Linked DNA regions of Lonchura striata. The protein of the gene in region 2 purifies or fractionates together with the protein of the main gene of each other region. This does not show direct contact. Links are inferred from orthologs where the notes say so. Each region holds a gene or a part of one and is shown on either strand. Other genes may lie near its edges. The genes, in order: LYRM7 and UQCRFS1.

What was found.
Region 1: the proteins of UQCRFS1 (region 2) and LYRM7 purify together in Homo sapiens (co-immunoprecipitation; 5 studies listed by BioGRID and IntAct, with this or other methods). This does not show direct contact. The link is inferred for Lonchura striata from reciprocal best matches to the Homo sapiens genes UQCRFS1 and LYRM7.

Annotation. Positions count from the first base shown.
Region 1 is NC_134642.1:7,053,906-7,065,262, reverse strand, and holds the start of LYRM7 (complex III assembly factor LYRM7), read right to left. Parts: upstream 5,446-11,357; 5' UTR 5,411-5,445; coding exon 5,393-5,410; intron 5,375-5,392; exon of another isoform or gene 5,131-5,374; intron 4,066-5,130; exon of another isoform or gene 3,984-4,065; intron 3,812-3,983; exon of another isoform or gene 3,795-3,811; intron 3,534-3,794; coding exon 3,461-3,533; intron 2,857-3,460; coding exon 2,786-2,856; intron 377-2,785; coding exon 295-376; intron 1-294. Other genes in the region: adenosine 5'-monophosphoramidase HINT1, read left to right, coding at 9,923-10,033.
Region 2 is NC_134615.1:9,624,641-9,636,035, reverse strand, and holds UQCRFS1 (cytochrome b-c1 complex subunit Rieske, mitochondrial), read right to left. Parts: upstream 4,862-11,395; 5' UTR 4,824-4,861; coding exon 4,613-4,823; intron 2,269-4,612; coding exon 1,658-2,268; 3' UTR 1,495-1,657; downstream 1-1,494.

The DNA.
Region 1 (11,357 bases), on a different chromosome or scaffold from region 2:
TATCTAATTGCTGACCTTCCTAATAATTATAGCTAGTTAAAGGCATTCAAAGTAGTCACTACCTCTTTTCTACTAGCCTCCATACTTCAAAACATTTGTATGGAAACTTTGTGCCTTTGAAACCTCCATCCATCCTAGGCAGTAACATCAATGAATAGCTTACATTACGAATTTTACCAGAGAATAACAGACAGGCTATTTGCCTCACTATTTCTTTCATATTTCACATTCTATATTTATTTACTAAACTGTAACATAAATATAAGTATCTTTCTAGCATGCAGGCTTACTCACCTATTTTGTCAGAATCTGTGTGAACCGCCTGAATAACAGAAGTTCTGAGAATCACTTCAACATCTGAAGCTATTTTAAGAAGCTAGTAAAAGAGTAAGAAGAGAGAAACAAGAGTAATTTAAATTCCATGTGACTATTTCTGAAGCTATTTTCCATACTAGACAACTATTCAAATAATAAAGTCATTCTGTTATACTACTCAGTTACTTATGTACTATGTATGCATTGCTTTTGCCTTGGGGATCGTGGAATAACTTACAGATTGACATGTAAGTGACCTTGACATGGAGCACATAGTGAGGGAAACACTGGCTCAGTAACATACACGAGTACATACATCTATGTATGTAATTAAAAAAAATTAAAACTGCAAATGAGTAAGTTGAAATGCAACTATAAAACTAATTAACTAGTTTTCGATGATCAAAGACACCCACTCACACCCCAATAACCTTTGACTTCTCATAGTGAAATTGCAATCTCATTCTTTCAACACTACTGCTCCTGAAATAAGGAGACAAAAACAAGGGCAAAATAAGACAAGAATTAAGAATACTGAGGTTTCACAGTAGAACTGTGCAGAAAAACAAGGCACTACCTACAGACTACCCAAAGTATTAGTATTTGGCAAAAGGCCTGGAATTCCTTCTCTCACTAAGAGGATAAGCTGCAGCACCCTTGCTAGCTTTGCTAAGCCATTAAGAGAAGTCTAATACTTGTTTGCATGATTCCTGTATCAGAAATAAATAGAATTGCTCAAGTGAGATGTTTCAGGAGACACGCTCACACTAGGAAGTGGCACATATCAACAGAAGTGGATCTTTGCAAAGTCTAGAGCTCAGTGCTTGCCATCTACACTGCACTTCTCATGCTCCTCCCTTGTAAGAGCTTCGAGCAGGTACCCTCCAGTTCCTCCTGCTGAAGGCACCCAGGCTGCATGCTCCTGCAGCACAGCTTCCTCTTCAGGTTGACCTTAAGGGAATTCTGCTTGTTTGTCTGACATTTTACATAGCAAGACAAATCACAGGTGCATTAGATTCAGCTATCATATTTCTCATTCTCATACCTGATCTCCTTATGTCACCAAGCTTGACATGTACAAGTACATATAGATACAAGTACTTGTTGTCATGTTAGAATGCACTCGTAGTTTTCTATTCTGGCTGGTCAATACTCCATTTTTAGTTGCTGTCCAAAGCAGAACACTAACAGCACCACATTAATGCAAGCAAGTGCTCAAACTTCCTCAAGTCCTATATAAAACTTCATTCAGTTCCTCTGCAACCAAGTCCAATCAGTGTGTACATGTAATAAACATCTGTGATGTCCTAGGAGTGTGTAGCTGGAATGGAAGTCTAGTATTCCTTTCACCAACACAGTTAATCAAATATCAACTAATCCATATTAAAAAGCCACATATGTGAAATTTGCAGGTTGCCTAGAAAACAAATAGAGATTTCAGAATTGCATCAAATATTTTTCCTGTACATCTATTAAAAAAAACAACCTTGAACTCATAACTTAGCTGATCAGACAGTGGTAACACAAGCAATGAGTATTACTACAGGAGACTGATAACAAGCTGAAATTAGGAACTCCTAACTAAATTGTCAGAATTATTTACATTACTGTTCAGTGGCTGATATCAGGAAATGTTTTAATTTTATTTCTTCAAGGGACACACATAGGCACTTTCTTCCAACCAGTGCCCAGTGACAATGTAAATACACTCTGATAAAAGGCTGATGACAAGGACTAAATTGATCACTCTGTAGCGATGTTAATAACTAAAATTATCTAAATACAGAAGTTCTGTTTCAGTTTACAGTAACTTTTAGAAAAAAATTACTCAGCAAGAAGTGTTGAGGCAACAATTATGCAAAGGTAATGAACTTAGTGAATTAACAGAATGCTTTACTTTTAATGCATGATGAGGAAAGAAGAAGCAAAAAATCCCTGTATTATAATTAATATATACTACAGCTATACTATACTACAATTAATCCTAATAATGTTGCTGTTTTTTGCCTTCCACAAAGATGCTGAGTCATTTGTGATCTGTTAGTAACTGAGCAGAGTAATTTCTCTGTTTGTTTCTGTTTACCTAAACAACAGTGAGCAGGTAAATTTAAGTGACCACACTGCAGATAGGTAGTATGAGCAAAGCATAGAATATTTACATAACAACTGCAACTTTAAATATTTTCTCATATAATTCTATTATAAACTTCAAAAAAATCACACTGAACTATCAGAACACACTTTCTACTTATGTATTTTTGTATGTACAAAATTCTGTAAGACAGTATCAATACCATTGTAAAGACAGTATTAATACATTATATGTTTATGAACAAAGATCCATGTAGAAGTCTTTCTAAACCAATCCAGCTTTTATGATGTCTCAATGTGTGTACAGTGGTTTAGAGATCCTTTAAGTAAAAAACAAATTTCTAAATATTCTTACAAGCAAGAGAAAGCAATAAAATACCTCATTAATCTTCTCTTCAGATGCCTCGTCTCGGTTATTTCTGAATTCTTCATTTATCTTTTGTCTTGCTGCTAAATAAAGTAAACAAAAAACCAAAGTATGAACAAAAATTTTATTTTGAATTTGTCACTGCCCCAAAGTTAAGAATCTTAAGCTCTTTATGGCACATTCCTGGGGCACTCTGATCAAAGTATTTCAATGTAAGATCTCCATGTAATTCACATGATGTCACATTTTAAGTTGACTGATATACAAATGAAATAAGATTCCAAATTTAGCATTCTGTACTGCATACACAAGGTCTAAAAAAAGCAGGATTCATTCCGTGAGGAAAAACCATACATAGAGAATTAATTAGTACAGCTAACCATGCTGTGGCTGGACTGAAGAGAAGTTAAAAACACAAAAGACATCTATCTCCCAGGAAGATCAGGAACATTTGAAAAAGATATGTTACTCTTCCAAAATATGTGGGTGCTTGAATTTAAGAACCATTTTTCTGTTTCAAATTAAAGAATATCTGGTTAGGGACATACAAGTTTTCCTAATTATTACTTGAAAATTATGGGAGTAACTTGAAGAAAGATTATGTTAAGAATTATCCTTCTCTGTACTCCAAGAAGAAAGTTCCACAAAATATAGGTATGCACACACCCCACAAAACAAGTATCTCACCTTCGAGGGCTTTGTTATCATTTTTAAAAACTTCTTGCCGTGTTCTGTGTAACAACTTAAAAAGCTTCAAAACCTGCCAATACAACATCAATATAATTAACTTATTTGCTAGCAGGAGTGTTAGTTAAAATGAAAATATTTCGGTTGAAATTTCTTGTTACTTCCATTCAGTACAGAATTTGATACAGAATCAATATCTAAGAGGCTTTACCTAAATTTCTCATTGAAACACTTGCAGCCAAAGCAGATGTGATGTCATCAAAATCTTAGACAGGTCTAGGTATTTCAAATTGCCCTAAGATGCTGGCACCACAATCCTAAGTAATTATTTGGCAGGATGGGAATACAATCCTGAAATTACATGGACACGAGCATTATTTATTGTGCCAATGTCAAATACACCCAGAAGAACTGGAATAACTCTAAAAGCCAAGTTACCTGAAGGAATTATCAAGGTTACAACAGTGCATATTCTCTAGCTATTGAAAGAAGACAGAAAAAGAAACAACTGAAGTATGCTCACATAAAAATCTTCTGCAAGTGGTGCAGCAGAACCAATGCAAAGTCCTTTTCTTAAATGCAACTGCCAGGTCAGGAAATGAACACTTCAGTAAAAGCAAACACCCAAAGTTAGGATTTACAGTGTACAGAAGACACCCCTGAACACGTATGAAAAGCAAACCCCCGGAGAATCACAGCTCACAGTCTTGTGGTTTTGATCATTCATACAGACTGCAATGAATCACAGAAATGCTCAAACCCTTATGAGACCTTTTTGGTGTTTGCCAGACTGAAAAGTCTCTGACAAACACCAGAGAAACATAATCTTGATAACAACATGCCTTTTGAAGCTCCTTCCAGTACTTCCTACCATTTTGGCATCTCTAGAGGGCACAATTCTAGGCACTTCATAATAATCTCAAATTGTTCTCTCACAATTAGTATTCCAAATATTTTTCAGAAGGACATAGAGGAAACACAGGGCTGTAACCCAGCAAATGAACAGAGCCATGTTGCTTTAACTGCACCATTCCCTAGATGGATGAACCTGTGGAAAGTAAACTCACAGAATTAAAACACAACAAAGGTTTTACAGGTATTTTAATATCCTAAAATTTTGCTGCCCCACAGTGTATTTGGCATCTTTGTAAATAGCCAAGTAATATTACAAGTGGTTTTATGTTAAACACACATGTATGTTAAAACTTTAAGTTTTTTTATTGCTATTTTGAACAATCTGATGAGCCATTTCCAGGCATCCTCCTACCCTTACAGCAGCCTACAGCTTCCTCACAAGGGGAGGAGGAGGAGCAAGCACCAATTTTACCTCTGGTATGCAGTGACAGGATCCAAGCAAATGGCCTGAAGTTGTGTCAGGGGACACTGATGCCACTCAGGGGAAGGTTCTTCACCCTGAGGGTGACCAGGGAAGTGGCCACAGCCTAGCAGAGCTCAGGAAACTTTTCACCACACCGGCCACAGTGGTGAAAAGCTGTATGAGATGGTTTTGATCAAGACGCATTAATGCAGACACCTCTGACCTGTACAGCCACTTGCTTTCACAGAGGGCCCCACCAACACCTGCTGACTGTACACCAAAACCAGGGAAATTACACCCTAGCAATGGAAGGCCTTATTAATTCTTAGCTCCTTGTTCTTCCCTATCTTACCCTCACGAGACGTGCTCTTGATGCATTTTAATCTGCCTATCGCATCTTCTCGCTTGCTTTTCCCGCAACGGCCTTTGCGTGCAAACCGCTACTTTCTTTTACCTAGTTTTTTATCCTTCTTATCCTGAAAGTCTGTGTCTTGTGGCTCTACAAAAGCTACACAGCTGCGACCCCCCCCCCCCAAGCACAGAATACGTGTGTATGAGTGTGTATATGTGTTTATGTGTGTGTTTATATGTGTTTATGTGTGAGTGTCACTCGCCTGCCCGCGGCTCCCCATGGCTCCCGCCGCCGGAAGTGTCGCACCGGAAGTGCCCCTCCGGGACGAGCCGCACCCTCCCGCGCTGCCGCCGGTGCCTCCGCCAATGCTGTCCCCCCCGGGGGCTGCCCGCCGCCGCCGTTCCGGGCAGCCTGAGTTCCGCCGCCCCGCCGCCGCGGGGCTGGCGCGGCTTTCACGGGCTCACGGCACGGAATTCCAGCTCTGCCTGGAACGGACCACAGTGGCGCATCGGGTCCAGCGTCCCTGCCCAAAGCCAAAGCACATGGCACACGACTGTATCCAGGCGGTTCCATCCCCACTGGGGAAGACTTCGCCACTTTCCTGGACAATCTGCTGCTGTGCCCGCTCGCCCGCACAGTGAACAAGTTCAGAATTTCTTCCTCGTGTTCACAGAAACTTCCTGTGCATCGCTTGCTGCCCACTGCCCCTCGTCCTGTTGCTGGGCATCACTGAGAAGAGCCTGGATCCCTCCTCTGACGCCTTTCCTTCAGATTTCTGAAGATAGAGTGATGAGGTTCCCCAAAGGCGATAAATAAAGGGTCATTTACTCTAACATAGCCCACTAACAGATTAACGTATTTTGCATTTTGTCCCATTTTCCACACGTGGCTTTAACTATTCTTTAGAGGCCCAGCTCCCACAACCTCTCCTCGAAAGAGAGATGCTCCAGTCCCATCTCCGCTGCCTCCACTGGACCCACTCCAGGAGCTCCATGTCTCTCCTTGTCCTGAGGAGCCCAGAACTGGACACAGAACTCCAGATGTGCCTCACCAGGGCTGAGCAGAGGGTCAGGATCACCTCCCTCAACCTGCTGGCAGTGCTCTTCCTAACGCACCCCAGGATCCCATTGGCCTTCTTGGCTGTAGTGAAAAATGCCGATCACTTGGTTTTTAAAATTTCTAAAAGTTTAATAATAATAAAATGATTATAAAATAATAATACAATTAGCGTAATAAAATTTAGAGTTAGGACAATTACAAGACAATAAAAAGCAAAGAATTAGGGATGTCCGGGTGTTCTCAGACACTAAGTCACGAAAAGCATGACTTGTGAACAAAGGAATAGCCTTAAAAGCAATAGCCTGTTGCATATGCATATATCTCATACATGATACATCAATTCCTTGCAAATTAATTCTGGTTTTTGTCAACTTCTTCTCCTTAATCCTGGTGGTTCCAAAAAGTTGGAGAGTAGGTGGAAGAATGTTTGTCTTTTCTGATAAGAAGGCAGTAACTTTTCATGGGCCCCCTTCACTGCCATCTCTGTGTGAAGAGTTTCTTGATTATCTCATCTTCCTGCTTGAGCTTGTAACAAATTCTATATCACAGAATTTCTATTTTAACAGTATGATGTAATCTAAAACTACATTTAACACACTACTTTAGAGAATTAACACAGCATAACTTTCTAACATTAAACATATAATATTCATTGTAACATTTGCAAAAAGCCAATCATAAAATATGAATTTTTCACACATCAGTTTCTGTGAGATATCTAGAATGGCCAATAAATGATGATATTTGCTGCTTCTTCAAATCAGTTTTTATTTTGCCAGACTGTTTCCTTGCTCTTGCAGTTAGATCAGCCAACGGCAGTTTGGAATCCTTCCTTATCTGGGATGCCACCTTCTTTCCCAGACTATTTTTTCACCACTTCAGAAGAAAAGTTGTGGTTACAATTCCTTGTTTCTGTGCTTATCAGTAGTATCTCAGGACCTCTCCAGTCTCTAGGTATTAAACTGCACTTAGAAAAGGCTGCGCTTTTCAAGGACATTTTTAGTTCCCAGGATCACAGCTGCCAAGCTGGCAGGCTTTTTTTCTGCTGGTGTTATCCAACAGGTTTTTTTTTTTTTTGGGTTTTTTTTTTTTTTTTTTTTTTTTTTTTTTTTTTTTTTTTTTTTTTTTTTTTTTTTTTGTTCAGTCATTTCTCCTCTCTAGTCAGGTCACTTTCTTGGCTGCTCACACCAAGTTCCCCACAGCCCTGGCTTGCCTTACTCACACCCTGACCAACCCAGCCTTGGCCTGGCCACATCATGGCCATATCTATAAACCTGAATTGCCATTCTCTTGAAAACCAAACAAGCTTCTAGTTCACTAACACATCGTTCAGCATTAGCTAAAGGCAGCATAAGGATTTTCTGTGTAAGCAGCTTTACTGGTCACTACACCTCTAGCTTCAATACAGCCCATTTAATTGTTTAACTGCAATTACATTGTAAGCTAATTGAACTATGGGAACACTAAACTTTTACTCAATAATTTAAATATTTTTATTATTAATACTTACTTGTAAGCATCTATTAAATACTTATTTTTACTATGTAACTCCTAAAGAAATTTGATCTGTTAGCAGAAGTGATGCTTATTTATAATTTAGTTGCACAAATAATTATTGCAGATGTGAATGAATGAATGAGACCCTTTGAAAAGAGGATCTAATTAATTAATTGTTTTATTCAAAATAATATAAAAGTTGCTGTTTACATGGTGAGACAAAAATATATGCTGAAGTTAACTATATGAAAAAAGATGTTTTTGCTTTTTAGAGAAACTTCTAAACTTGTCTCTTTATGTCTTCTCTTAACATAGAAATATACTTTCTAACTAACTCCACAGCAGCGTTTGCCCAAATTAATAATATATTTGCTGGATAACCTTGGTTAGACAACAATATAATTCAAAGAAATTTGTCCCTGAAGTACTTATTTTAATTGTTATAAAGCTCCACTATCATCTATAGGACATATACATGTCAAAATATATTAATCCAGAACATCATTAAGGAAGAGAATAAAAATTCATTGTCTAATGTGCTTTACCAGAGTTTTTTTTTTCAGGGTATTTAATGATAAACTATTTCAGAGTTACAGAAACATATGACAAATTCTGCTCTTTTTCTAACATGTTCAGGTAATCCGCTGAGGAAACCATATTAGGTTAATGCACTCTAGCAGTACTGATTCCCTGACTCTCTCCAAAATGCTTTCCTGTAACATTTTAGTCTAGAGACAAATATATAAAAATGTCTCTATTAATATCCTCCTAGATAAATCCTCAGGAAAATCAATGTATTTTATTTGTAAAGCTTAGAAAATCATAGAATCTGGAATGGTCTGGGTTGGAAAGGACATTAAAGGTTATCTAGTTCCAATGCCCCTATGATGGGCAGGGACACCTTTCACTAGACCAGGTTGCTCAGAACTCCATCCTGCCTGGCCTTGAACAATTCCAGGGACTGAGCACCCACAACTTCTCTGGGCAGCCTGTTCAGTGTTTCACCATGCTCACAGTAAATAATTTCTTCCTCACATCCAATTTAAACCTCCAATCTTGCAGTGTCAAGCCATTCCTCTATGTTCTGTCACTACATACCCTTGTAAAAAAACCTTCCTCCATTTTTCTTGTAGGGTGCTTCAGGTACTGCAAAGCTGCAATTAGGTCATCCTGAAGTCTTTTCAAGGGTGAGCAATTCCAATTCTCTCAACTGTTCTCATAGAAAAGGTGCTCTGTCACTCTGATCATTTTTGTGGCCTCCTCTGGACTCACTCCAGCAGTTCCATGTCCTCCCTGTGCTGGGACCCCAGGGCTGATGCAGGGTTCCGGGTGGGCTCTCAGCAGAGCAGAGCAGAGGGGCAGAATCCCCTCCCTCCCCTGCTGCCCACGCTGCTCTGGATACAGCCCAGGACACGTTTGGCTTTCTGGGCTGGGAGTGCCCATGGCTGGGTCATGTCCAGCCTCCCACCCATGAGCATCTCCAAAGCCTCCCAAGGTCTGTTCTCAATCTCCCAGCCTGCGCTGACAGCAGGGGTGACCCCGGTGCAGGACCTCGTACTTGGCCTTGTTAAACTGCATGAAAATGAAGCTTCCTTGTTACTCTTCAAGTTTTGTGTTGGTTTTTAACCCCTGCTTTTTAATTTCTTCTATTTAATGACTGATGTCGTAGATATATTAAAAAAGCATTTACAACTAGATGTATAGCTGTGTAACTTCGTGCTGCCCTCTGTGAATTATTGCTTGGCCATATTGATTGGTTTGTTTTATGCTTACGAAATCACTTATGTGCAGAAGGGCTGGCAAGTCAAACTGCCCCTCTGCAGGACCGCGATTCCAGGGGCACCAAACACCTGCAAACTCTGGTGGAAAAGCTAACGCAGCCCAGCCTGGTGCAGTCTGCAGGAGCTCGTCCCAAGAAATCACACAGATATTTCATTTGGATTTGATAAGCAGTAATTCTGCCCACAACAGCCTCTCCCGGGACTACGCTGCCACTGCAGATCACCTTTCCTTGATCCCTGCGCGCAGCCGGCCATGGCTCCTCCCCATGGATCCCTCCGCGGTTCCCGGGTCAGCGAGGGCGCGCCAGCGCGGTGGGCGGGACCAGCGGGACAATGACAGGCGAAACCGCCAATCAGACGGGCGGGCACGGCCAGCCGCCGGCGCTGGCCCAATGAGCGCCGGGGGGCGTGGCCGCGGGGGAAGGCGGGGCTGAGCGCCGGCGGGAGCCGCCGCCATGGCTGACGAGATCAGCAAGGCGCAGGCGGCGCGGCCCGGCGGGGACACCATCTTCGGGAAGATCATCCGCAAGGAGATCCCCGCCAACATCATCTTCGAGGACGAGCAGGTGCGGGCTGTGCGGGGGCCGGGGGCGCCGCGGAGGCGCTCGGGAGCGCGGCGGGGCGGGCGGTGCGGCTTCCCTGCACCGTCCCTGGAGCTGCATCCGGCTCCTTGCCAAGGGTCGCGGGTTCTCGCAGCTGCTGTGGGAGGGTACTCGTGAAACCTTTACCACTTCCAGGCAGCCTTCTTGCGGCTTCCGAGCAGAGCACCCGGCTTGTGCAGGTCCCGATGTGCCTCTTTTACAAAGATGATGCAGCTCTGCCTGCTGGGCTTTGGCAGTGAACCTCGAGAGCGATTGCTGGTGCATCACTGCATGTTCGGGCCGAAACGAAATCATTTAGATGAAATGCAGTGGACATTCCCAAAATGTAAACTAACTCGTACTTCGTATAAGATCTCCTGCACTTTCCCCCCCCCGTATTTACAGGGGCCTTTGCTTTTGAAATAAGGGATTATTCTCAGTGTACAATACAGACTCTCTAGGATGCAGTTTGTCAGATTTATGTGCTTAAAAATCATGCATAGCTTGAAACTGTTTCCTTAATAGATGGCAGATTGTTACAGTTGCCATATGCTCTGAAGAATATTGAAAATGTTGCCTGCTTTCCTAAAGTCATGCCTTTGTTACTGCTCTGTGTTTATGTGAGGGTGTGTGATCTTTCTTTACGGGAGTCAAACATCTGTGAGTTTTTCCTCAGCTGCGGTGGTTGCAGCAGAGTAAGCTGGGTACTGTTTGATTTAGGAATCAGGCCATTGACTTCGCTGAGCCCACTTTGGCAGCTATTTGTGTAGCTGGTGTATTTCTGGAAAAGTCATTACCTACAGTACATCACTTGGTTTTTACTTCAAAGTGCACAGAAATGTAGAATTTCTAGGTTTCAGTTGATTGGTGGGCGATCTTGAATTAACATTGTTGACTTTATGGAGGTCTTTTTAGAGGTGGCTGGAAGTGCTAAAAGGAGAAGGGTAAGGAAGGCCTTTAATCAATAATTGACCTTCAGAGAAACGGAAATACTGAAAAGTGCAAAGTCTCTGTAGAATTATGCCTTATCACCATCTAAACTTCCTGAAATGAGGTTTGGTTTCCCATGCACTCATGAATTTCTGTGATTGTGCTTTTCCCTTATTGCTACTTCTGCTTTCTGTACCATTGAAAACTATTTACTTCCAATCTTTTGCTCTTTAAATTCTTGGATGCAGTTTGGTCATTTGCATTCTTCCTCTCTGGGACTATATATAATAGGAAAGCTGCTTGTAAAATGGCCAGCTCTAAGTATGATTTATTTAAAGGGGTGCAATTAGTTTTATTCATCAGTTATACACTTATAGCC
Region 2 (11,395 bases):
TACAGCTGTTTACCTAACGGACCATGTTATATGTCACAACTTCTGTTCTTTTACAGTTCCTACACAAATTTTCTGAACACAGTGAGCCTTGCTGAAGTGCTCAAGGTCCCCCTTTCCTCCTCTCAGTGCAAACACTACTGACAAATGATGGCAGTACCTCTGATGGGTGTGGGAATGAGCAAACTGCTCCTAGCTGTACCACTGCTACCAATCCTGGTCTGAAGAGCACCTCAAGACCTTGTATTAGCGGGGGCTGAGTTGCAGATGGAAATGGCTCCAAACCCACATTTCTCTTGATGACATTCACCCAAATTTTATCAGTTTTGTCTGACCTCTCAGTTACTGCTGTTTTTCTAAGTTGCTAGATATGTGGAAAATAAAATCTCCCTTTTAAGACACAAACCCCTAAGGCAGGGTAATGTTAAATAGAGTTCTGGTTGACATTTCCCAGTTATTGCCCTTGTTCTTCATGCCATGGTCTCTAGAACCTTCCAGACTCTGGCCATCCCTGGGGATGCCTCTGAGTCAGCGGCAGAACTGGGAGTTAATGGAATGTTGCACCATGGCTCAAGTGTCCACTGTAACCACCCACCTACCCCTGGCTCCTTGGCAGTCATGAAGGGCTCCTCTGGGTGGGCTTTACGAGATCCAAGTCAGAATCTGTGTCTTTATGCAGGATTGGCTTTAACTTCACCTGCCTGAACCTTTCTTTACTTGTCCCTTTGCTTCAGCTACAGCAGCTTTATGCTGTCTAGATCCATTTGAAGAGAGGGAGAGAGCAATCTTTTCTTTTCATGAAGCACAAAGAAAATTGTACTTCAGAAATATCTGCATGCACAAAGGATGTCAGTTGTTCACCAAACAGGCTGCACACAATGGTTTTCAATTTTTACTGACTGCTACTTGCTAGATTGTGACAGTCACTGAAATGAATGACAACCTCTATTGTGAAAGTGGTATCAGACAGAACTCTCCCTCACTATATCCACAGAACAGTATTATGTCAGACCACACTGTAGTCTCTGGTTAATACTGTTTAATTGTAGCAATCTGATTTTTTTACTAGTTTATTGTGAGTAAGCTTTTATTATTTGCATCTTGAAAATTCTTTCAGACTTTTCTGTAGTTTCTGAGGATTTTAGTTTTTATTCTACAACTGAGGGAGCACATCAGTGCAGTGCAGAAGTATTTTCATACCAGTGGTAAAGAACGGGAAGGAAACACAAAGTACAGGATTACTGGTGTCTTTTGGCTTTGTTCTAGAAATAGCAAACCTTGTTTCTCCTCCTGTTCTGCATGCAGTGAAACACCAGCTCTATGCTATATTGGCAGGAACAATGCTGGCTGAAACATCTCTTTGTGGCTTTGTAGCTCAATGCCTTGAATCAGCAGCCCTTCAGAAGGGCTCTGTGTTCTGGGTCTGCTGTAGCATCTCCTTGGCTGGACACACTAGAAATGTGTACATAAAGAAAGACACTTTATTTTAAGTCAGGAACAAGTGCTCACTCCAAGTTTTTATTGAAATCAAACAGAGTATTCAAGCATAGTTCTGCTTGAGAATCTAGATAGCTAATTTCAGGTTTTACAGTATGCCTCAGTTAACCCTTCTGGTGAACATTATTCCCAGGAACATGGAAGTGAGCAGGCACCTCGTCTCTCAGCCGACCACCACCGTGTCATCCCCAATGAACTGGTAAACTGGGACCTCGAGGTTTAGGGGAGCAGGGCCTTTCCTGATCCTGCCAGAGGCGTCATAGTGGGAGCCGTGGCAGGGGCAGTAGTACCCGCCAAAATCCCCGGCGTTGGCGATGGGGACGCAGCCCAGGTGAGTGCACACGCCCACCAGGATCACCCACTCGGGCTTCTTCACTCTGTCTAAGTCGTGCTGCGGATCCCTCAGTTGAGACACATCAACTCCAGCCTCCTGACTAATTTCTGCCTGGGTTCTGTGACGCACAAAAAGGGGCTTCCCTCTCCACTTGAAAGCCATGTTCTTGCCTTCTGGAATGTCAGACAGCTTGATCTCAATCTTTGACAAGGCCAGCACGTCAGCAGAGGCACTCAGGCTGGAAATAAACTGGGTGACAACATTCTTGGCAACGTAGGCAGTTGCCACACCTGTCGCTGCAGTCATCAGGTAGGAGAAGCCTTTCCTGGAGTTGCTGCTGCCTTGGGAAGAGGCGCTGGCATCCTGCACGTCCTGGCGGCGGTAGGCAGAGAAGTCGGGCACCGTGACATCGTTGTGGACACAGCGCACGCCAGCGGGGGCTGCATGGAAAAGGACAGCAGGTGACACCACGTCCAGGTAAAACACTGGCATGCATTTGAAATTATACTGTTTTAGTGGCAGGTTTGGAATAATGGGTAAAAGTTATTCCAAAGTCTGGGTAGGATTCCATTAATTAAGCATTTTAATTTTATGTTGTATGAAGATGGTTTTCAAAGAGAATTTTTGGTACACCAAAGGTGATCTGTGAAACTGGTTTCCTATTCTTTGAAAAAGAAACCTGATCAGGGTGCAGAAAATCTGTCAGAAGTTCTGGGCTTCTGGGAAAAAAAGTGAACTGTTTTTTCAGTAAATGTCAAGAAAATGCTCCAGTAGGATACCATGACTAGAAAAGACAGACCTGTTTTCTATTCAAATGTTTCTTGTAAAGAGCTACTAAGAAGAAATCTGATGTAGTGAAGTTTGCACATCTGCAGTGTAATTTTTGTTCTATTATTTGTCTGAAGTAACTTCTACGCCTGCAATAATATTAAGTGTGTGGTTAAGCATTTTTATCATTAAAAATACCAGGCAACCTCTTTTATATTAAATTGTTGTCCCAGCTAAAAGCCACAGGAAATAATTTTACACCTCCAGACCCCAGGCTCGCTTTTTAAAAGATTTAGGGCTAACTGTTCTATTTCAAGTGGGATTCCCCCATCAAACCCGTGTGCTCAAATAACAGGATATGAAGGATAACTAAAAGGTCTCCCATGCGTTTCTCCAGCAAAAGAAAGCTGTGTCCTCCACTGAAAATCTATAAGCCAAAGAAAAGAACATGGCAAAGACAGAACAAATTACTTGCCAAAGTACAACCTGTTACTTGAAGAGTATTATTTAGTCTTTATATTTTCTGTCAGTTGGCACAAAGTTAACAGATGTCTCAAAGTACTTAAGCTCTCAGGGATTTATATGCAGTACAATGAGGATAATAACTATATTTACTTAGAAGAAACTCAGCATTGAGAAAGTAATTGCTATAGGCTTTTAACTGCAAAGAAATTAAACCAAAAATCAAAATTCTGAGATAGTGCTCCATATTAAGTTATTTCAGTATAGACTTAAAGCAATAGTAACATGTAATATGACTAACTTCTAAAAAGTCTGCTATACTCAGTGAAAAGCATGTTTGATGTTAATTAAAATGTAGAGCACAGCTAAATGTCAGCCATGTCAGTTCCAGATTTGTAGAATTTTCACCTGAACAAACCCTTTACAGCTGAGGGTCAGATGAAGTACAGTCTAATTGCTACAGAGCATCTTCAGCACGGCACTGCCCTCCCAGAATTAAACGTGTGCACTCTGCACCAGCTGAGGTAGAACATTCCATCAGAGACAGCTGCAGAGCTGGGCAGCAGCTGCACTGAGAGTTACAGAGCTGGGCAGCAGCCCTCCAGGAGCTGCAGTGAGAGCAGCACAGCTGGGCAGCAGCCCTCCAAGAGCTGCAGTGAGAGCTGCACAGCTGGGCAGCAGCCCTCCAGGAGCTGCAGTGAGAGCTGCACAGCTGGGCAGCAGCCCTCCAGGAGCTGCAGTGAGAGCTGCACAGCTGGGCAGCAGCCCTCCAGGAGCTGCAGTGAGAGCTGCACAGCTGGGCAGCAGCCCTCCAGGAGCTGCAGTGAGAGCAGCACAGCTGGGCAGCAGCCCTCCAGGAGCTGCAGTGAGAGCTGCACAGCTGGGCAGCAGCCCTCCAGGAGCTGCAGTGAGAGCTGCACAGCTGGGCAGCAGCCCTCCAGGAGCTGCAGTGCCAGCCACAGCCCTTCGGGCAGAGGTCGGGCTCTGAAGAACACCTCGGCGTTACTCCCTGGCCGATGCTTTCCCCACCTGGGTAAAACACACGGTGTGCTCTCACTGCACCCCTCTGTTCCTGTGTCCGCGTATAAAAGCCTTCCCGAATGACAGGATTTAGCTGCATTTCCTCAGCAGTAAAATAAAAATCACTGAGCTGTCCCCCTCAATATCCCTGGATACCCCGGGGACATCCCGACCCGCCCGGACACAGTGCTGTGCTCGGGGCTGACCCTACTTGGGCAGAGGTGACACACTGCGGTCCCTGCAGCCTGCCCCGCTCAGTCATTGAAGGAAGCTGGCATTCAGGTGCCCTTGAACGAGCTCTGCAGCTGTAAGTGGGTGCCAATTACACCGGTGACAACAGAACCAAGCATTTAAGAACCCCGATCGGCCCCAGCCCCCGCAGCCCGCCCGCCTGCTGTCCCCTCCCGGCTCGGCTCCCCCGCCCGCCGGGCCGGGCCGGGCCGGGCGGTGCCCGGGAGCGCCGGCAGGGCCCCGCTGAGCCCGCGGCAGTCCCGGTGCCGCTCCGGCCCGCCCCGCCGCTCCCCCGGCCCGCACCGTTCAGGCTGGCGCTGGCGACGAGACCCCCGCGGGCGGCGCGGCCGCTCAGGGACTCCCGGCAGAGCAGAGGCCGCTTCACGTCCAGCGGCACCTTGTGGTCCCGGTGCGCGGCGGCCGGGGCGAGCGGGCGGAGCGGGCCGGGCACGGCGTGCGCGGCGGCGGACACGAAGGGCGCGAACGGCCCGGCGCGGGCGGCCACGGACAGCATGGCGGCGTCCCCGCGGCGACCTTCCAGCCGGCGCGGCCCCGGCGTCACCGCGGGCTCGCGCGGCGTGACGTCACGCGCCGGCGCGCGGCGGTGACGCAGGCGCGGAGCGGGGCGCCCTGAGGGGAGCGGGCGCAATACAGCGCTGCCTAGCCTTGTTGCCTCGGTGTTTTTTTATTTTTATTTTTATTTTTTCCCCTTTCCCCCACCTTTTACCCCTTCTATTTTTCTTTTTTTTCCAGTCTCCTCGGGGTGTTCCGTGCGGCCGTGTGCCGCAGCCCTGTCCCCGCGGTGCTGCCGGGTTAAATGGCAGCGGGACCTTGCAGGAGGGGTTCGTGAGGCGCTCTGGACACGCCGGGCTCCCGCGCCTCTCCTGCGGGACAGGACCCTGCTAAACACAGCAACGCGACCCCAGGGCGCCTTGGAGGGCTTAACGTGGGTTTTGCCTGCTATTCTTAGGGTGTGATTTTGAGCTGTGTGGTAACAATACTTAGAACTGTGTCGCTCCTAGGATAATACCTGCTCTTTGTTACTCTATTTATTTTGCACTGCGTGATTTTTGGTCCTTTTTGTTTCTTTTTTTCCTCTTTTCCTTAGTTTACTAATTTAATTTTTTTTTTCTTGGTAGTCCTGGACCAGTTTCAAATAGGGGCAAAACCTAATTTTTTTACTTTGTCATAAATTGGTTGAGGGTTAGGTTTTACTTACAGTTTGAGGATGCAAAGTGTGTTTGACAACAACCACATCCACTCTAGGGGCTGTTCTGGGGCTGGGGGTTAATTGCAAGGGGACAGTAAATATTTCACATAAATACTTCATATAGATATAACTCTTTGGGCTAAAGGAGAGAACCACTCTTCCACTAATGACTGGAGCAAATATCTGTTGAGTTTTTTTGTAGTTACTTTTAATTATGGAATTTTTTTCCCCTTAAATTTATTTTACTTAATAATAGCAGTTTTATGCTCGGCTTGTTATGGCTTCCAATGGTAAGATTTAGTTTGGTATAGGTGAACACACTGGTGGATGCCTACCTGCTCCAGTCAACCATTTTAACCAGTTCAAGCTCCTGAAAATCCCCCAAAATGCAGGATAAACTTGACACAGAGATATGTTTGAAAAAATTTAGGCTGAACCATCCTCTAGAAACCTAACAACAATTTCCCAGCTACTCAGCTGTGAAGCTTTAGTGGTTTATACTGGCTGTATGGAGAACTATTCTTTTGAAATTCAGATCTTGCTAATGATATTGCTGCTAAATTATTTTATGATTGTGCATTAAAACCTCCCCCATCTTTGTAGAATGGTAGTTTAAGGACTGACCTTATTAAGATTTATTTAAGGGGTTGATTTTTTCATTTTCTTTTTAACTGTTAACTGTACTGAAATATGGTAGCTCTAATTAAGTGGGATGGATCATTTCAGTCCCAGTACTATTGATCTATAATTTATTTCTTTCCCAGCACGTTTGTGACATCTAAGCCTCAGTAGATAATGATTTACCCAACTCAGTTCACTGTACTGTTGGTAACTGTAGTCACTGGTGATGCAGTAATTAAAGGACACCACAATAATATTCTTGAGCAAAAGTAATTTGTATAAACTCTGGGGGCTATCAGTCAATATATGGGTGGGAATAAACTATCCAGGTAGAGAGGGTAGAAAATGGGAAGGCCATTTTAACAGCACACGTTTTATAATCATAATTTAGGAGAAAAGGAGCTACAGAGGTGTGATATTTTCAATTACCTAACAGATTATAAAATTATTATCATGGAATCAGAATGTGCTGAATTGGAAGGGACCCATCAGGATCAGCAAGCCCAACTCCTGCTCCTGCCCAGGACAGCCCCAGAGTCTCACTCACTGTGTGCCTCGGGGTTGTCCAAACACTTGTTGAGCTCAGCCAGCCTTGGAGCTGTGCCACCACCCTGAGGAGCCTGTTCCAGTGCCCTGCCACACTTTGGGCTGCCCACTTTTTCCTGCTCTCCAATCTAAACCTCCCTTGAGTCAGCTCCCAGCCATTTCCTCAAGTCCTCTCTCTGGTCCTGAGAGTGAAAAGAGCTGTTCCTGCCCTTCTGCTTCTCCCTGTGAGACCACAACGAGCTCCCATGAAAGATCTGATCCCAGCTGAACAAGTGCTGGTAGAGCTAAAGGAGACATTTTGTGGTTCACCATGAAAGTGAGGATTTCAGCTAATATTTATAGAAGGGTTTGTTAACAAGTGTGGCATTTGGGGGTTTTTGTTGGGGTTTTTTTTGGGTGGAATTTTTTTAAGGATTCTGAGTTTTGGCAATGATGCAAGTTTTGAGTTTGCTAACCTGGCTCAGCTGTTTGGCAGATATGGCCTCATCCCAAACAGTATATTATTCTGACTGGGGGGGGGGGGGGGGCATTCTCAGAGATGTTGGCAAAATGTGCTTGCTACTTGTGGAGCTTTTTGACAAAATGAGGTACTGTGATGGAACAGTAGTTACAGGACAAGGAGAAATGGGCATGAATTGAAAGAGGGGAAATACAGGTTAGATACCAGGAAGAAATTCCCTATTGTGAGAATGGTGAGACACCAAAAGAGGTTTTCCAGGGAGTCTGTGGATGCTTCAAGCCTTGAAATGTCCAAGGCCAGGCTGGAAGGAGCTTGGAGCAACCTGGTCTAGTGGGAGGTGTCCCTGACCATGGCAGGGGAGGATGGGACAAGGTCATCTTTAAGATCCTTTCCAATTCCTTAATGTTCATTCTATGATTATTTGGGAAAGAATGGTTGTAGATTTTTTAAAGACTTAAATCTGAATTCAAATTCCAGTGTGGTTAGAACAGAAATAAAATATTAAAATATTGCAGCAAAAAGGAACTACATTCTGATATCAGAGCTCAAAAAAATAATAATTATAAAATGACTAAGCAAATTCTGGTGTGTAGGTGTTTCTTTGGGAAGTGTTGTTCACCTTGTATTACTGAGCATCAGTACTGAGCATTTTCCAGCCAAACATGAAAGTAAAATGCCAGCATGACATTGTGTAAATCATCCAAACAGATCTCTGTGATTGTTTTTGTGCATTCGTACAAGCATTAGCCTCATGTAAATTTATGCTGCTTAATGTTCTGTCCTCCTAAAGTTAAAAGTTCATTTGCATGAATACAAAAGCTATAAGATGTCAGGGCTGCAGCATTATGAAGTAGATGAAAAGTATGGTAATGCTTTTGGGTATGTGCAGTGCCTTTCTCCATGTAGAATTCATTCTCATGTTTGTTTTCCTTAGAGATAAACTGCAGAACTTGGATGGCTTTTTGCTAAAATGTTGGTCACCCCAGGGAATTTGATCTCACCAGAAAGTTATCTTTGAGTTCTTTGCCATCTTGCATCATTTTTATGTCCTGAAAACTCAGTGCTACTAAACTTGAGAATTCAGGGTTTACGTTTACTTCTTGGATTTGAATTGTTGATCAATTTTTTTTCTCTGTGAATAAACTTCTTCAGAAATAAAAAAACCAGAGAGAACAAACAAACCACCAAACTGTACCTGTGGAGCATTGTTAGTGGAGCAGTCATTATGCATCATCTGTTTAGATAAGTACACCCTACTCTGAGAGCATCTCCAAATGTCTGCAGTGGTTCCTTTGCAGAATTAATATCCATTGCAATGATTTTAGTCTTGTGGTGTGGCACTGTGGAAGTGGCATATAAATCTGAAGATAGATTTATGTATGCAATACAGTTTGTTTAAGGTTAAAATTATGGAGACCCTTTAATAGTTAGACTTTCTTTGAATGTTCTTTGAAGTTGGTCTATTGCTTTGAAAAGTCACAGGGTGTGATCTAAAGGAATATATATGAAATGTGAGGAATGAAAATGGACAGTAAAAATGAGGAAAAAAAATCTAGGAATATTTGATTGGTCAAACATTTCTTTCCTGCTATTCAAGTTAGTTGAAATGATGACACCTCTGTGCAACAGTCTAATCTAAATTCAGGTCTTTTTCAGTCAAGGAAAAACTAAGTTCAAGTATCATGAGGGAAGAAGAGATCTGCTGTCAGCTTTTTACTACTCTTTCTATGAATGCAGGGGTGATCAGCAGGTGTTCACAGCCTCAGCAGCCATCTTATTGTAGATCTCTTACAGCCCTGCTCAATAAGGCCAAGATAAATTGCCTGGAGTAGAAGGGTATTGAATATCTGTTTCTGACAGACTTGCACTCAACATTTTGTGTATAAAATACTCAAATAAGAGATACACACAAAGAAAGTATACTTCTCTAATCTGCATTATAAAAAATCTCAAAGCAAGCACGTGAAGCATTCCCTTGGGCAGAAAGAATGGGATTTTCTGAGTCAGTTTTAGAGAGGAAAGAAAAAAAATTGAAGGAAATAAAATTAAAAAGACCAAGCCTAAAATCTAAGATTACATCAAAGATTTACATAATTGTAGAATGGGCAAAAAGAGTCACAAATATGTGAAATTGATAAGAGCTGCTCACGCAAATCAGAAATGGCACCAAAAGGTGTCTGACCAAGCAGAAGCCAAAGGCTAGATGAGAACTGCCTGGGGCAGCATCAAAGGCAGCTCAGCAAGGCAGCAGCTAAAGCCTAAATGAAATTGCCTGGAGCATCATCAAAATGTCAGTTTCAGGGAGAGTATTTTCACCCTTCCTCTTGTTTTCTCCCTTACATTTCATGAAAAATCCCTGACATTTCTTGAAGGGCATGTGTTTGACTCCTATCTGGCTTCCACTATTATATATTGTTTGCTTTTATGGTTCCTGGAGATGGAAACAAAACTTTTCAACTTTATGACCATCTCTGACTAAAATCTGAAAGGCTGAACAAAGGAGAATCCTGGCTTCTTTTGCTTTGCTTATGTATTTCTTGCAATGAATGCATTTGGAGAATTCCATTTGTGTCTGGTGCCCAGCTGACAATGTTTGTGGGCTGGGAAAAAGAAATTCTCCCCTTAGCTGTGCATAGGAAGGGATTAGGAGTTACTGCCACTTCCCAGTGTGCTGAATGTCTCTGCCCTGCCTTTGGTTGCTGAAACCCCAAGTGTTGTTTAAAGCTTTAGCTGTACATGCTGTAAAAACTCACTCTTCTGAGATTGATAGCAAACCTCTCACAGTTGCGCAGTTAAGCACAAAGCTTACAGAAATAGAATATTTGTAATGTTTCAGAGGACCATAAATTATTGTTTTTTTTTCAAAATAACCAACTTCCTAGGACTACAAAGCAGAAGTAGGGCGGTGAATAGTAGCACCAGAGCTAAGCTTGCTGCTTGATGCAAAGCAAAATCTCACCTGCTACTGTGTGTGTAGATATGCCCCTATGAAACCTCAGTGAAGTGGCAGAAAAAGGAGGGTGACATTTAAGAAGTGACAAAGGAAATAATTTTGTCTCAATTTTATGGTGTACAGTGAAGATCTTGACCGTTGTTATGCCCTCCTGTAAGCTTTTCTGTGAAGCAAGGTTGCAGAACCTTGGCTTCAAACTGCCTTTAAACCAGCATAAAGCAGATAATGGCAAAAGAAGAACTCGTTTGTAATTCTTGGAGCTGTTGGCAATCCAGAGCCACGCCATTAAGAGCTAATGCAATGAAAGTGTCCCCTTGTCATAACTTTCTCCCTTTCCTCCCCCTCGGAATTGCTGTGAAGAGGCTTTGCCTGTAGCCTTTGCCTGTCTCGATGCTGCAGTTGAAAGGTAGGAGCTGATTCTCCAAGAGCCTGTGACGTTGCAGTGTGCGTTCCTGCATCACTCTGAGCTGCATTGCTGCAGGGGACAACAGCAGTTCAAAAACACTGTGCTGACATCAGAGCTGGGCCTGCTCACACACTGCAGCTTGAGCCCTGGGTGTGATAAGGGTAACCTGTGCTTGCATTGAGCTAATTAATTGCCCACTGTCATCATCACCTAAATACTCTTAAGGCTATTTTTAAACACCTACTTTGACAGTAGCTTGTGGAAACTTGCCTATAATGCAAAAGATTTTTTTTATCATCTTTTTTTTTTTTTAATGTGGAACCTTTATTTTCTGTTCTTTTATATATAAGAATAAATAAAAGCCTTTTCCTCTCTTTTTTGCTTAGTTATGAGAATAATTATGCTACTGAGGCTGCTCCTAATGGCTCCCAGTGGAGTTACTCCAAGTTTTTAGATTGGTTATATTTCATATTTTCATACTTTTAGTGACCCTTGGTGCAAGAAGTAGACATATACTAATGAAATCTGCTGAGGCAGACTTACAAAGCGTTCTTTACTGAGGGAGAAATCAGAATAAAATATGGAAAGAATCAGAAAACTTTTTTAAAGTTAGGATGAAACTTAGTATTATGAAATTCAAGAATGTTTAAAGATTCACACCAAATGTTTCTATTACAAATTACAGATTTTTCATCCAAAGTGATAGGAGAAGAAAGAAGATCTAGATATGTGGTGGGTGATCAAAGTATAATGATGCACTGTGTGTGTTAAATAGGTAGGGGGATACTGGGGTTTTCAATATGAGATTTTCAGCAGGAAATAGTAATTTTGTCATACAAAGCCCCTGCCCATCTAAGTAGAAAGTTCTTCCTGAGTCACTCAATGTGTAA